3 linked regions of the Bombyx mori genome follow. The protein of the gene in region 3 interacts with the protein of the main gene of each other region in a biochemical or structural test. Links are inferred from orthologs where the notes say so. Each region holds a gene or a part of one and is shown on either strand. Other genes may lie near its edges.

Region 1 (4,347 bases), on a different chromosome or scaffold from region 3:
CTATTCGAAACAAACAAACAAACAAATCTTTCCTCTTTATAATATTAGTATAGATTTTCAGTACATGGTCGCACAACAGTTTTGGACTGTAAGGTGTGAAAGAGTTTTAATGTTTTGTAAAACTGTTTTCAACACAAAATCAAAGTTAATGAATTTATTTAATTTATTGTATTGTATATTGATCTGCCATTATCCTGGTCATTAAAAATCAAATCACCAACATCATCATTAATCAATTATCAAAAAAAAATATTCTACTCTTAAGCTTGTTTGCTTTTAGTACTTTGCATTGTGTAAAATATTAACTTTATATGATATTTTCTGAAATGAAAATAATTTCATTAAAAAACTAACTATTGTCATGGCAGTTTTGACACAATTAATGATTTTCTGTCTAATACTTTATGAAACTGAATGTTCATTAACACATATTATCTTTCCATAAGACTAATTTAGATTCAACTGAAACTTTGAGTATTATTTTTCCAACAGATAAGTAAATGTTCCATGATGCTATTAATGTTTGAAATATTGTTTATATAGATTGACTGACATACTCACAGAAAACTTTTTATGAGGTAGATAGGGCATTACAAATACAATAGTGTCGAGATTACGAAGACAGAGCTCCACTCCAATCACATGATGTTTGCCTCTGTAATATAACACACGTAAAATGTTCAATTAAATTAATGGATAAATACCTCTACACAAGCTAGACATTCAAACACACATTAACTCATGTGCCAATGTGGTACTATTCAGTTAATGATGGTCTTGTTACTCATAGCATATAGATATAAATTCAACAAGATTTAGGATTACGACTTAATAACCTCATCTGTAACAACAAATGATGATGTTCACACATAATGACGTGCCCTTGTGTAGATTTGACCTTGATCCATGAATGGCAGATTCCTGTGTCATTTTTAGATGAGCAGATGGCAACAACATCCCATGGGGTGATAAGTAATTACGTAGATTGTACTTTAAAATAAATTCTAGTCAAATAAATATATGGGACATAATGCCTGTGTATATTAGTAATGATGCAGATTCATTTTTAAAACATACCCTATGTCCTGTAGACACCTTAACTCGTGTTCAATCCGAGCTGGATGTGCAGTAGGTACCAAGTGTTTTATGGCAAACCAACGCTTGTCTTTGTCTAGCAAAGATGAATGCTGTCTCAGTGAGCCTAAATACACTGAACTAAATGTTCCTTCTCCTATCTTTCGGTGCACTTCAAAAATCTTGTCCAGTTTTGGTAGCTTATATAAAAGTTCACATATTTGTTCACCTAGAGATAAATACAATAATTATTTTAAATTATTAATGTACTTATTTATTGGATGTCTATGTGTTTAATGACACAGTTTTGTCTTCACTGTGTAATCGGGTGAACAATCTCATGTAGTATCTGATGTTAGGTGGTTACCAGAGCATATAAAAATCACAATGTGAATGCTGCCAATCACCATAAGACTTGAAAACAACTGTCTCAGTTGTACTAACTATTGTATAAGTTACATTTTTGTGTGTTTGATTCTTATTCACTAAGTTATGGCGGAAGTCATTCAGGAACATGTATTAAGTTGTGTGTATTTTATAAGAAAAAATTATACCTGTCTACTTCATTTCACCACAGGTATTATGGTGGTTATATAACAGATATAATAAAATAATTAGGTTCAATCTATTGAGAGATGGTTCTTCTCATAATAAGTGTAATATTAAGGCTAATACATAAGGTAATACTTTGATTGACATTCACGATGCTTATGAAAGTAATATGATCTATCTTCTATTTACAAATCGTTATATTTCTGTCTTTTTAAAAACGACTTCAAAAGGGGAGGAGATATACATTTTTTTTACTTTTCTTAGAACTTTTTTTAGGATATTTTAATGATTCTTTTTTATTTGAAGAGCGATGGTTCTCATGTGCTCCTATTTAAAGTTTATTGAGATCTGACCAGTAGTTTTTGAACTATGTATCCATAAGTGATGCAAATTTAATTGACTTCAACTAATTGAATTGTTTTGTACATATGTAATTAATAATAAATAACAGTAAACAAGTCATGCACGATCATCCGGCCCCAAATCAGGATTCCGTGATATGGGTACACGTTTGCCCGGGAGTCAAACCCACGAGCCCTGGTACAATAGTCTAGGGCGCTAACTACTGCACCACCAGGTCAGTCAAAGTACGTTAATACGATTTTTAATTTACTTTTTTTAAAATAATTATTCTTATTATTTTTTATCTAAACTTACGTTCAGAAGAATCAGAAGTCTCATTTTCATTTTTATTTTCTTTGAGCTTTTTATGAGAACGTAACCCTTCTCTTATTTCAAATCCCCTAGATCTGGACATATTGGTTTAATTTATGAGTAGTTATATTTCCTCATATGGGTTGTTTTGCTGAATATTGTAAATTATAAAATAAATAACACGGGAACGGAGAAACAAGAAACACAAAACAATTGAAATTTCTTAGTTTTCGAATACAAGAAAGCGAAGAAATCACATTGTACAGCCGTGACTCTTAATTTTATTTTCATGACATAAATTATCGAATATAAAAAAAGGCCTTATCTGTTACACGAATATTAAAACACAAGTGAATGAAGAGAACGAATATCCTAAAATGGATTATGGAATATCATGATGACGGAGTGGTTGTGGCCTATTTTTTTTTTTTTTTCTCCTACCTAAGCTGAGAGCCTTGAGAGGCTATGTCAGCGTAACCCTAACTTTAGTAGGTGAGCTCACGGGGCTCAAACCTGACGATGTTGCTAACACGAACCCTAGCAAGAGTCGTGCTTCGCAGAATCTACCACCGGATCGGAAACGCGACCCACTGAGAAGATCCGGCGAGAAACTCAGTGGGCTGTGTCTGAGAGTTAATTTGCTCGTCGAGCCCTTCGACGCAAGCGTCGGGTTCGACGAGAACGGTGACCGGTGCTTGAAGTACCTAAAAGCACCGTTAGTGGATCGGGAGGATCCGAGATGACGTGTTTTGGGCGACGTCGACTGCTTTCCATTCTGTCCGCAGGATCGGGAATGGGTTGTGGCCTAAATGATGCCCGATGCATTTATGTCGAACGATACGATAATACCAATATTCGAGTCCAGCAGACAGCAATTATTTTTTCTAGTGAAATACGTATCTACTTAAAACATATTCATGAATAACTTTCACGATGTTGCGAATAAACCAGATTCGGATGCGTCGTCTACGCCGCTACACCTAGATGAAACCCGAAATACAAAGTGGGAAAGTTATTTAGAAGGACTCGCACCTTTTCATCAAGCATATTGGCGACTAGCTAGGCGACCCTCCAATTGGAAACTATCGCCACTACGCATCTTTTCGTATGGGCCTCAGGCCAACTAGCAGATATACTGCAAGAGCAATGCTCCACCAGTGCTCAAACTGCTAATCCCGAACAGACGGAGTTGGTCGACAGGAAGCGACAAACGTCAGCCGGAGTCCTACAAGGCTCCGTTCTCTCACTACTACTTTTTAGCTTACAGTTGACTCTTTTCGCTAATGATACGCCTATCAAGTACTTGAAGTGTTGTAAAATTAAACCACCCGCACAGTTTAAAACACTATCAGTTTATTGTCAAAGAACAGTGTGCTTAGTGAGAGTTTTTTAACGTTTTCGATAGCGTAAAAGTTAACCCAATTTTGTCTACTTGGAACAGTGCCCCTAGCGGCAAACGTACTCAAACGATCCTATTCCATACAAATATAAGCTAACTTTTACACCATCCAGAACGTTAAAAAACTCTCACTAAGCACACAGAAAGAACACACACAAAGAAGGAGAAGAGAGTGAAGTTATGAGAAACATTTGTCCATTCAACACACAATTAATTATTAAAATTTAAATCTAGTTTTACATCTTACAATGTATGTAATAATTACAATATAATGTTACAAGTAATTTTTAACATGCTACATACTCGAGCAGGAAAATGTCGTTCATGCATTATAAACTAAAGATCGCGGCCACCACTTTAGGACAGTGGTTCCGGAAGTGGCATGCGCGTCGACATTAACCCCACGAAAATCACAGCCGTACTGTTACGGTGTGGATCCTTTAAAAAAAAGGAAGCTGTGGCTGGCACTGAGTTTATTTTCTAAAAAAAATAGTAAATAGTACAAACGATGTGTGTTTCCGCTACTCATGCCAAATCTGTTCTGCCGCGCTTTAGCCACAAATCGTCTTTATATGAAACGATGCACCTTAGTCTGCATTATTATTTATATTGCGTTATTATTGAGGAACATATGTAACAGTACTCTTCAAAAGAGTTCGCCCTCACGA
Region 2 (4,195 bases), on a different chromosome or scaffold from region 3:
ATCAATACTGAAAGATAGAAGTCACTTTTATGTTAAGTCAATTACACATGAGATTGAAACTTTAAAACGCTCTCCTGTAAGCCATCATTTTTGACATGACCCTTTGTATGTAGGAGCAGTCGATTTATGGCTATGAGTTTTTACTTTTTGGGTGTGATAGATACTATGGCTGGTCGGATACTTCCATTCATATTCTAAACTTTAGATAAATTTTATTAGTACTAATGGTAGATTACTAGGTTTTTCAAGACTGCATTGATATGGATGGTGATAACCATTTTGATTATTGTCTACCAAAAAGTAGTAATGACATCAAGGTTGAAGGGTGTGACAGCTACAACAAAATACAAATAAGGCTGAGTGTTAGCAATCACATTGTAGTCCATGAGCTCCAGTAACCACTTAACACAAAGTAGACAGTGATTTTGTACGAGCAAAAAAAATATGCAATTCAATTAGCTAGATACCTTGATCAACACTATTTGAAAGTAATGGATTGCAATGTTCCAATTTTTGTACATGAACAGCATGCAATCGTGGTACTAAGCTTGGTGGAGGATTATGAGTTATAATTTCGACACTACTCTCAATCTGGAGCTCTATCATAGAATCCTTATCTTCCTTGAATTCGCCTGATAGGGATGGATCTACAGAAAGAAATCCAATGACTTCTATCATGTCATTGAGCTTGAGATTTTCATTGTCACTGTAAATCTGAAAACAATTTATTATTTAGTTTCATAACCAAAGCTTTTCATTTATTAACTACTACTGCTATGTGGATGGAAACAATATTATTGGATTTTCTTATACCTTAACAATGCAAGATTTGCTAGGTACATCAGGTAGAGGATAATTTAACAAATGTTCTCTTGAAACCACATCAGGTGTATTATCTTTGTGATCTAAAATCTTCATTTCCTTATTCACAGCTTCATTATCAACTTCCATTTCATCCAAATTATCTTCTGTATCATCGTAGCTTCTTTTTAACTTTGTACTTGGGTGAAGCCTTTTGGAAGTATTTGGTGGTTCTTCTAAATGTTTCAAATAGTTTTGTTTATCTTCTAGTTGTTGGACCCAGTCATTTAACCCAGGTATAGACACAACAACTAAAGTCTGTCGCTGACCACTGATTAGGTTCTCAGAATAGTTAATTTTCTCATTTTCCTGAAACATTTTATATTGATTTAATTTACTATAATAATGAATGTTGTAAATAAATTCTGCCCTTTATAAGAGGGGAAAGGAAGATTTTCTTGTAAATGCACATGAAGCCCAATTAATAGATTTCATTTCATATCATAACATAATGTTTGTCAAACATTAACAGAAATATCAACATGTTATATTTTTGTTTAAAAGTACATGCACACAATTTATATAGTGATTTTAGTCAACGTTTATTTTTAATATTTTTTATACGCACACTTAGCTATATCTTAAGCATTTAGGTATATTAAGCATATGGTTGCATGAACAGCTTTGATCTTAGTAATTCTTCCATTTTGGTTTTATTTTTAATGCTTTACATAAAAAGGATCTTACAAGCACTATCTCAGTTCTTCCAGGAAGTTAATATTAGAAATATTACAAACTTAATAACTTAGTTAATAGTTAGTTAAAAGTTAATAATACTTTTTAGCACTAAATGGGAATGAGGTGTAAGCTCCTGACATTGTATTGTCAATCAGCAACTATCTTGTTTCATCAGTTCCTCTGAGAAGTGTGGCTTATTTTGGAATTAGTGGTAGATATTTAAATAATTAAATTGATTATTTTAACTGATCCTGAAACTAGCTTTAGAGATGCCAATAATTCATGGTGATAGTCTATCATGCATATGTCTGTTGCGAAGAGGCTCTTGCTCTAGGAGAAAGTTGTGACTTTGACCGTACATATTCAACAAGTGAAAAAGTTAATTTGAATGGGCAGCATTTCAGTAGTAAATTTAAAAAAATCATTATAATTAACAATTTTTGTGGTTTCATTCTCTTTCTTCCTGTATCCAAGTATTCGGATTTTCGGAAACAATGACAGGGAATATTCGCGGTGTATATTTTTTTGCAGACTTCTTAATGTTCGGTCCTTACCAAAACATGTGCAGTATCTCTGTATTTTCCACTTTTAACCTTTACTTCATTTGTTGTTGTGTTAAATACTTCAAATTTCTCAAAGTAAAATTCAGGGTTGTGCATGTCTTGGATCATGCCTCTGAACCGCACTAAGTTTCCGTCTGTTAAATTATGTGAAGCATTTGAATTAATTAGTGGGATCTGTAAGGTCAAATAAAGGACAAGTTAATAAATTTTACAAAAATGATTTCTGTTTTATGATAAATTCCGTACCTGGTACCAATTTGGTAATTTCATCAACTTGCTCTTCATTATTTTTTCATTCTCAATCCATCGATCCGGCGTCGTTGTTTCGATATCGCTCATGATATTTTCATGCATGATTAGAAAATTTATTCATTAATACTATTATCGTGTGTTATGTTTTGGTTGTTATACAATAAACTGAATCAGAATTTATTAAAGTTCAGTCTCATCAATGATACCGCACCGTATTGCACTTCTTTTTTTGTGGTTTTTGTTAACTTTACTTTACTCTTTGAAACATACTGAATTTTATTAATTAGTGAAAAATCTATGTTAAGGGTTTTGAGTTGTACGATATTGAACATGTATGTATTACTTAGATATTGTAATAACTTTGTTATTTAATGTACGGTACGGTACGATAATGAAAGTGAAAATTTTGAAATTATGCAAATTTTTTACAGAGAATCACTTGGTTTATTTATTATCTATGACTTGGTAAAATACCTACTCGACGTTTTGGCGGGAACGCTAGGAGTGAAGTTGTGTGATTTGTTTTATTTTGTATATTTAGTGTTTCTTCAGGTTTAAATGTGGAATAACGGTGGTTTATTAACTGTTTAATATCTGCAAAAGTGCACAAGGGTGGGAAAATGAAATAAAGCCGCTGGACGTAACTTCTCGGGATCCTCCAAAAAGTCCGCTGAAAAAATCTCAGTAAATGACCACTATTTTACTGAGATTATATTTCATCCCATATCATCTCGTTTCATTTAATTTCATTCCAGTTGATTAATCTCCCAAATTAATCATTTTCATTTACTTGACTTAAAGATCTTAGTTACCAGGTCATAAAACTCCATAAATAATACCTACTCTCCATAGATAATACCTTAGATATTTTTTTTTGTACAAATTTTCCTTATTTGGAAAGGCAAGGGGATCTAAGCCCATACAGCCTATATACCATAGATACTTGATAAGTATTGGAAGACTCTCGGTACAGGTAGACAGTAAATGTAGATCTTTGATTATTTTAATTTAATTAAAAACAGTGCTACAATACTTTAACGTTCTCACAAACTCTAGCTCTCAATGCTAAAATACTAGCCCATTCCCAATCTCTGTGGGTATACACCAAGGCTCGGCTCTGAGTACTTTTTTGTTCAGTGTACTACTAGACTAACTAGACGACGGAACCGACGGAACGATAAAGATAGATGACGAACTTGTCGTAAAGACAAGTAAATTCAAGTACTTAGAGTTTGTGTTTCACGAGTTCGAGTAACGAGCGTCCTGTGCAACCGCAGGGTTCCGGTAAAGCTAAAAGGCTTCGTGTACAAGTACATCATTCGACCAGTCCTATTCTATGGCAGCGAATCATGGCCGGCCTTCGTAAGACATGTTTCGAAACTGCACGTTACTGTAATGAAGCTGCTGCGGTTGATGTGTGGCGTTACACGACTAGATCACATTCCTAACGACTACATCAACGGCAGCGTTGGAGTTCATAACGTAGCAGATGAGCTGCACGAAATTCATCTACGATAGTACGGCCATATAAACCATAGGACCCCAGACTACGTCGGAAATAGATACCTCAACTTCTATGTACCAGGTTCAAGATCCCGCGGTAGGCCCAAGAAATGCTGGTTGGATGTGGCAAAAGCAGATTGGAGGAGAATAACCTCGCCCAGAAGGATGTCCAAGGCCGACCAAAGTGGAGAAGTTTAAGTAGGAAAGCGAACCCTGACACTAGACCGGGAAAACGCTAGGAAAAGAAGAAAAAGTGCACACCAGATGGGGCATTTTCTATAGTAGCGTAGTTTAGTTAGTGCTTCTTCAAGTTTAACAATCAACCTGGACAAATAATA
Region 3 (3,603 bases):
TTGTTATCGGGGACCATCAAATAATATGTGCCCGAAATTTATGAAAAAAATTCCTCTCTGAAAAAAATTGACTAACATTTAAGTCATAACTATTATATTATTGTATCTTGGTGAGATGTTCTAGAGATTGTTATTCTCTTTCTACTCAGCATCTATCAACAGCTGGGTTTTAATCACCTTACTTACACACCGAGCACACTGACAGTACTGTTTGTTCACCCACTTTGTCGTATTTAAATAATAACTTGGATAGTTTTATAGAATTTATTAAACGTAACTTTTTAGAGACAAACAATCTGTTTAAATTTTGCAGCAGTAATGGAGGGAAAAATGCAATGACACAGATTATACCTATAAAATAGATTAACCAACTCAACAGTACTCTCTCTAACAATGTTTAATATACCTTGAGCTATTATAGTAGTTACACACATCTAACCCAATAGGAATAGACCATCAGCATCAAGCTCATTCTTACTATAACTCTAACGGTGAAGTATACTGCGGCAATACAGTGTGCTTAGTGCGAGTTTTTGGAACGAAGTTCCTTATCGCGCGTTGTGAAAGGGGGCTAGACGGAAAAAATTCTTACGAAAAGTTGTCACGACACTTTTTAGATCCGTCATTCTGACCAATCAACGTGTAGGCGCTTATCGCATGACATTGCTCGTATCCGATTGGTCCGCGTAATGAGTACAGTTTCTCGAGATAGCGTTTCAACAATAGTAATTTAGTTCATAGTATTGTTTTTTTCTTCTTCATAATGCCGTAATTTATTATTATAACTTAAAAAAAAATTACAATTCCTTCACTAATTAATCGAAAGGAACTTCGTTCCATCCGGGTGTCCCTTGACACCTCTGAAGTTTTTTTTTAACATTATTGATAGCGTAAAAGTTAACCTAAATATTGCATGGAATGGGATCGTTTGCCTACGTTTGCCGCTAGGGGCGCTGTTCCAACTACATACAAAAATGGCTTAACTTTTACGCTATCGAGAACGTTAAGAAACTCGCACTAAGCACACTGGTTTCATGTATAATTTCAGGTTCGACTTAATATTCCTCGTGCTGGATCCACAAGACGAAGTGTTCGACAGACGTCTGGCCTCGCACCTGGTGTCCCTGTACTACAAAGACCCGAACGATCCTCAAGATGACGAGGATGCTATTGTTAGTAAATCATGAAACTAAACTACTAAGCATATAAATTTGATTTATCTTTGTCTGCAATTTGTAACACATACAAAATGGACAATATTTTTTTTTATATTTTTTTTAAACCGCACTACTGTATAATTTGTTACAAGTTTTTTTTTAAGTTCTTTAGGCGCGTTATGAAAAATTGATGAGAGTGAAATTTTACGATGCTCACGCACCGTGACACAAAATTAACAAAATGAAGTTGCCCACTAAATCGTCATTACAATACGGCCGACGTAACTTGGCGAGTCTGAATATAGCCGCAGGTGAACTTTCCGAACCGTACCGAGAATTACCGAATTTATACGATGCCAAGAAAAGGGATGTCCAATATGCGTGTTTGAGGATGTTGTTTAATCGATTTTTTTTTCAAATTGATTAAAATTGAAATAAAAAAAAAAAATAGAAATAAAATATAACTTCTTACGCGCGTACATAAGTACACACACCCTTTTTTATGTTTATATAAGATTACTCACCTAGTGAATATGCCACTCCATTGTGCAACAAAAGAGAGAAACAAAATAATTATATAACAAAAAATAAAGGAAACTGTTATCGTCTCTGAAGGCCCACCAAAACTATTTTGTAAAGTGACTTAGCCATTTCTGATTCCGGAAAAGGTTTTTACGTAATTTATACCTCCAACTTGTCGACAATTTGTATATTTTGCAAATAATTGTTGTCTCAAATCATCATTCTGCACACACTCCATCATAATGTGAAAAGCATCTTCCACTACATCGCAAACTGAACACTCGGGATCAGGAGTCTTCCCCATTAAATGAGCAAATTTATTGAGTGGGATGTGCCCGGGACGAAGTCTGAAAACAGTCATTAGTTCTATTAAGGTTACAAGAATCAAACTACGGAGTTTTCCACGGTAGACTTTGAATTGTTTAGTACCACACACCTTTTTCCAAAGACCTTTCATCGAAATATACCTTCCATAGACGATAACATTCCTCACTTACTAAGTTTCATAATTTTTTGATGTCCAAGGACTTCATAAACAAGTCCAATACTAAAAAAGCATAAGATCTTGGAGTTTCCAGGTGTAAGTGTGTGTTATTGAACAGGATATAAGTCTGATGCGGGACTACATAGCCTTCGCGAAGGAGCACGTGCAGCCCACGCTCAGCGAGACGGCGCAGCAGCGGCTCATAGACGCCTACGTCGACATGAGGTTCGCTCTTCTATTATACTTAGATCAACTGTAATCATCAATAAAAGAGACTCGATATTATTCTATATATTACAACACGTGAATCAAAAACGGTATCCCTTTTTACGAATATTGCGCGGACAGAGAGGACTATGTAATTTTCCATACTTATAGAGAATATAGAGGAGCGCAGAATGCAGTTTTTTTTAAATTATACATAAAATCATTAACAAAAACATTACACATTTACCATGTATTTGACACACACACCCACCCATATATACTCTTTTGTTTATTGTTAAAGTCTGTGATCAAATTAACAATAGATTAATATTGTTTATCTTTAATATTATTTGTCTATAGTGTAGCCTTGGCAAAAATTATGATTACAGAAGTAAAGTCTTGAACAATAGAAGCTTAATAATGTTCAAACTTATAATTTCAATTAATTATGGTCGAATTTCGAACGCTAACCGTCCACTAGTACATCTTAAATTGCCTTTGTAAAAGAACTATATACAATAAAAGATCACTATTTGCGGAGCACAAACACGGAGTATGCCGTGAATACAGAAACCGTGAATATAGAATGGTGCTCTATGGTAATCTACATAATATGAAAAGGATTATAGGGGATACGTTCTTAGGTGACAAAATAAAACATACTTTAGCCGTAGTTGTAATAAGGTATATTTTAATTTTATTATTAGTCCACTTAAAGGCACATTTATAGAGGATATTCGGTTGGATACTTACCTTTTGTCAATTAAAGAAAACGCGAATAAGGAGTTTTTATTGTACTTCTTTCTCGTTTCCATAATTAAACTGTTTTTATATATGTAACAGGCGTGTGGGCAGCGGCCGAGGTCAGATATCGGCGTATCCGAGGCAGCTCGAATCTCTCATCAGGTTGGCGGAAGCGCACGCCAGGGTTCGACTTTCTTCCGTTGTTGAACTGATAGACGTAGACGAAGCGGCGAGGTAATTTAGCATAATATATATTAAACGTCGGTTTAGTAGACAAATCTAATGTAATCCAGGATTATAAAACTTTTTACTGGTGGTGGGACGTCTTGTGAGTTCACACGGGTAGTTACCAACACCCTGCCTGCGTCTGCCGTGAAGCAATAATGCGTTTCGGTTTGAATGGCGGGGTAGCCATTGTAATCTAAAAACGAAGACCTTAGAACTCATGTCTGAAGGGGGACATTTACATTGTGGGCCGTGAGCTCCTCG

The links. The genes of interacting proteins can lie anywhere in the genome.
Region 1: of the proteins of DNA replication licensing factor MCM4 (region 3) and cell division cycle 7-related protein kinase, one has a biochemical effect on the other in vitro, tested with the Homo sapiens proteins (2 studies listed by BioGRID). The link is inferred for Bombyx mori from reciprocal best matches to the Homo sapiens genes MCM4 and CDC7.
Region 2: the proteins of DNA replication licensing factor MCM4 (region 3) and uncharacterized protein LOC100286771 form a complex in vitro, tested with the Homo sapiens proteins (2 studies listed by BioGRID). The link is inferred for Bombyx mori from reciprocal best matches to the Homo sapiens genes MCM4 and MCMBP.

The regions. Positions count from the first base shown.
Region 1 is NC_085121.1:308,928-313,274, forward strand, and holds the start of cell division cycle 7-related protein kinase, read right to left. Parts: upstream 2,814-4,347; 5' UTR 2,384-2,813; coding exon 2,284-2,383; intron 1,304-2,283; coding exon 1,078-1,303; intron 656-1,077; coding exon 562-655; intron 1-561. UniProt on the Homo sapiens protein: Kinase involved in initiation of DNA replication. Phosphorylates critical substrates that regulate the G1/S phase transition and initiation of DNA replication, such as MCM proteins and CLASPIN.
Region 2 is NC_085117.1:15,219,527-15,223,721, reverse strand, and holds the start of uncharacterized protein LOC100286771, read right to left. Parts: upstream 2,814-4,195; 5' UTR 2,457-2,813; coding exon 2,349-2,456; intron 2,277-2,348; coding exon 2,094-2,276; intron 1,171-2,093; coding exon 814-1,170; intron 715-813; coding exon 468-714; intron 1-467. UniProt on the Homo sapiens protein: Associated component of the MCM complex that acts as a regulator of DNA replication.
Region 3 is NC_085125.1:2,572,655-2,576,257, forward strand, and holds part of DNA replication licensing factor MCM4, read left to right. Parts: intron 1-1,048; coding exon 1,049-1,172; intron 1,173-2,281; coding exon 2,282-2,388; intron 2,389-3,213; coding exon 3,214-3,348; intron 3,349-3,603. UniProt on the Homo sapiens protein: Acts as a component of the MCM2-7 complex (MCM complex) which is the replicative helicase essential for 'once per cell cycle' DNA replication initiation and elongation in eukaryotic cells.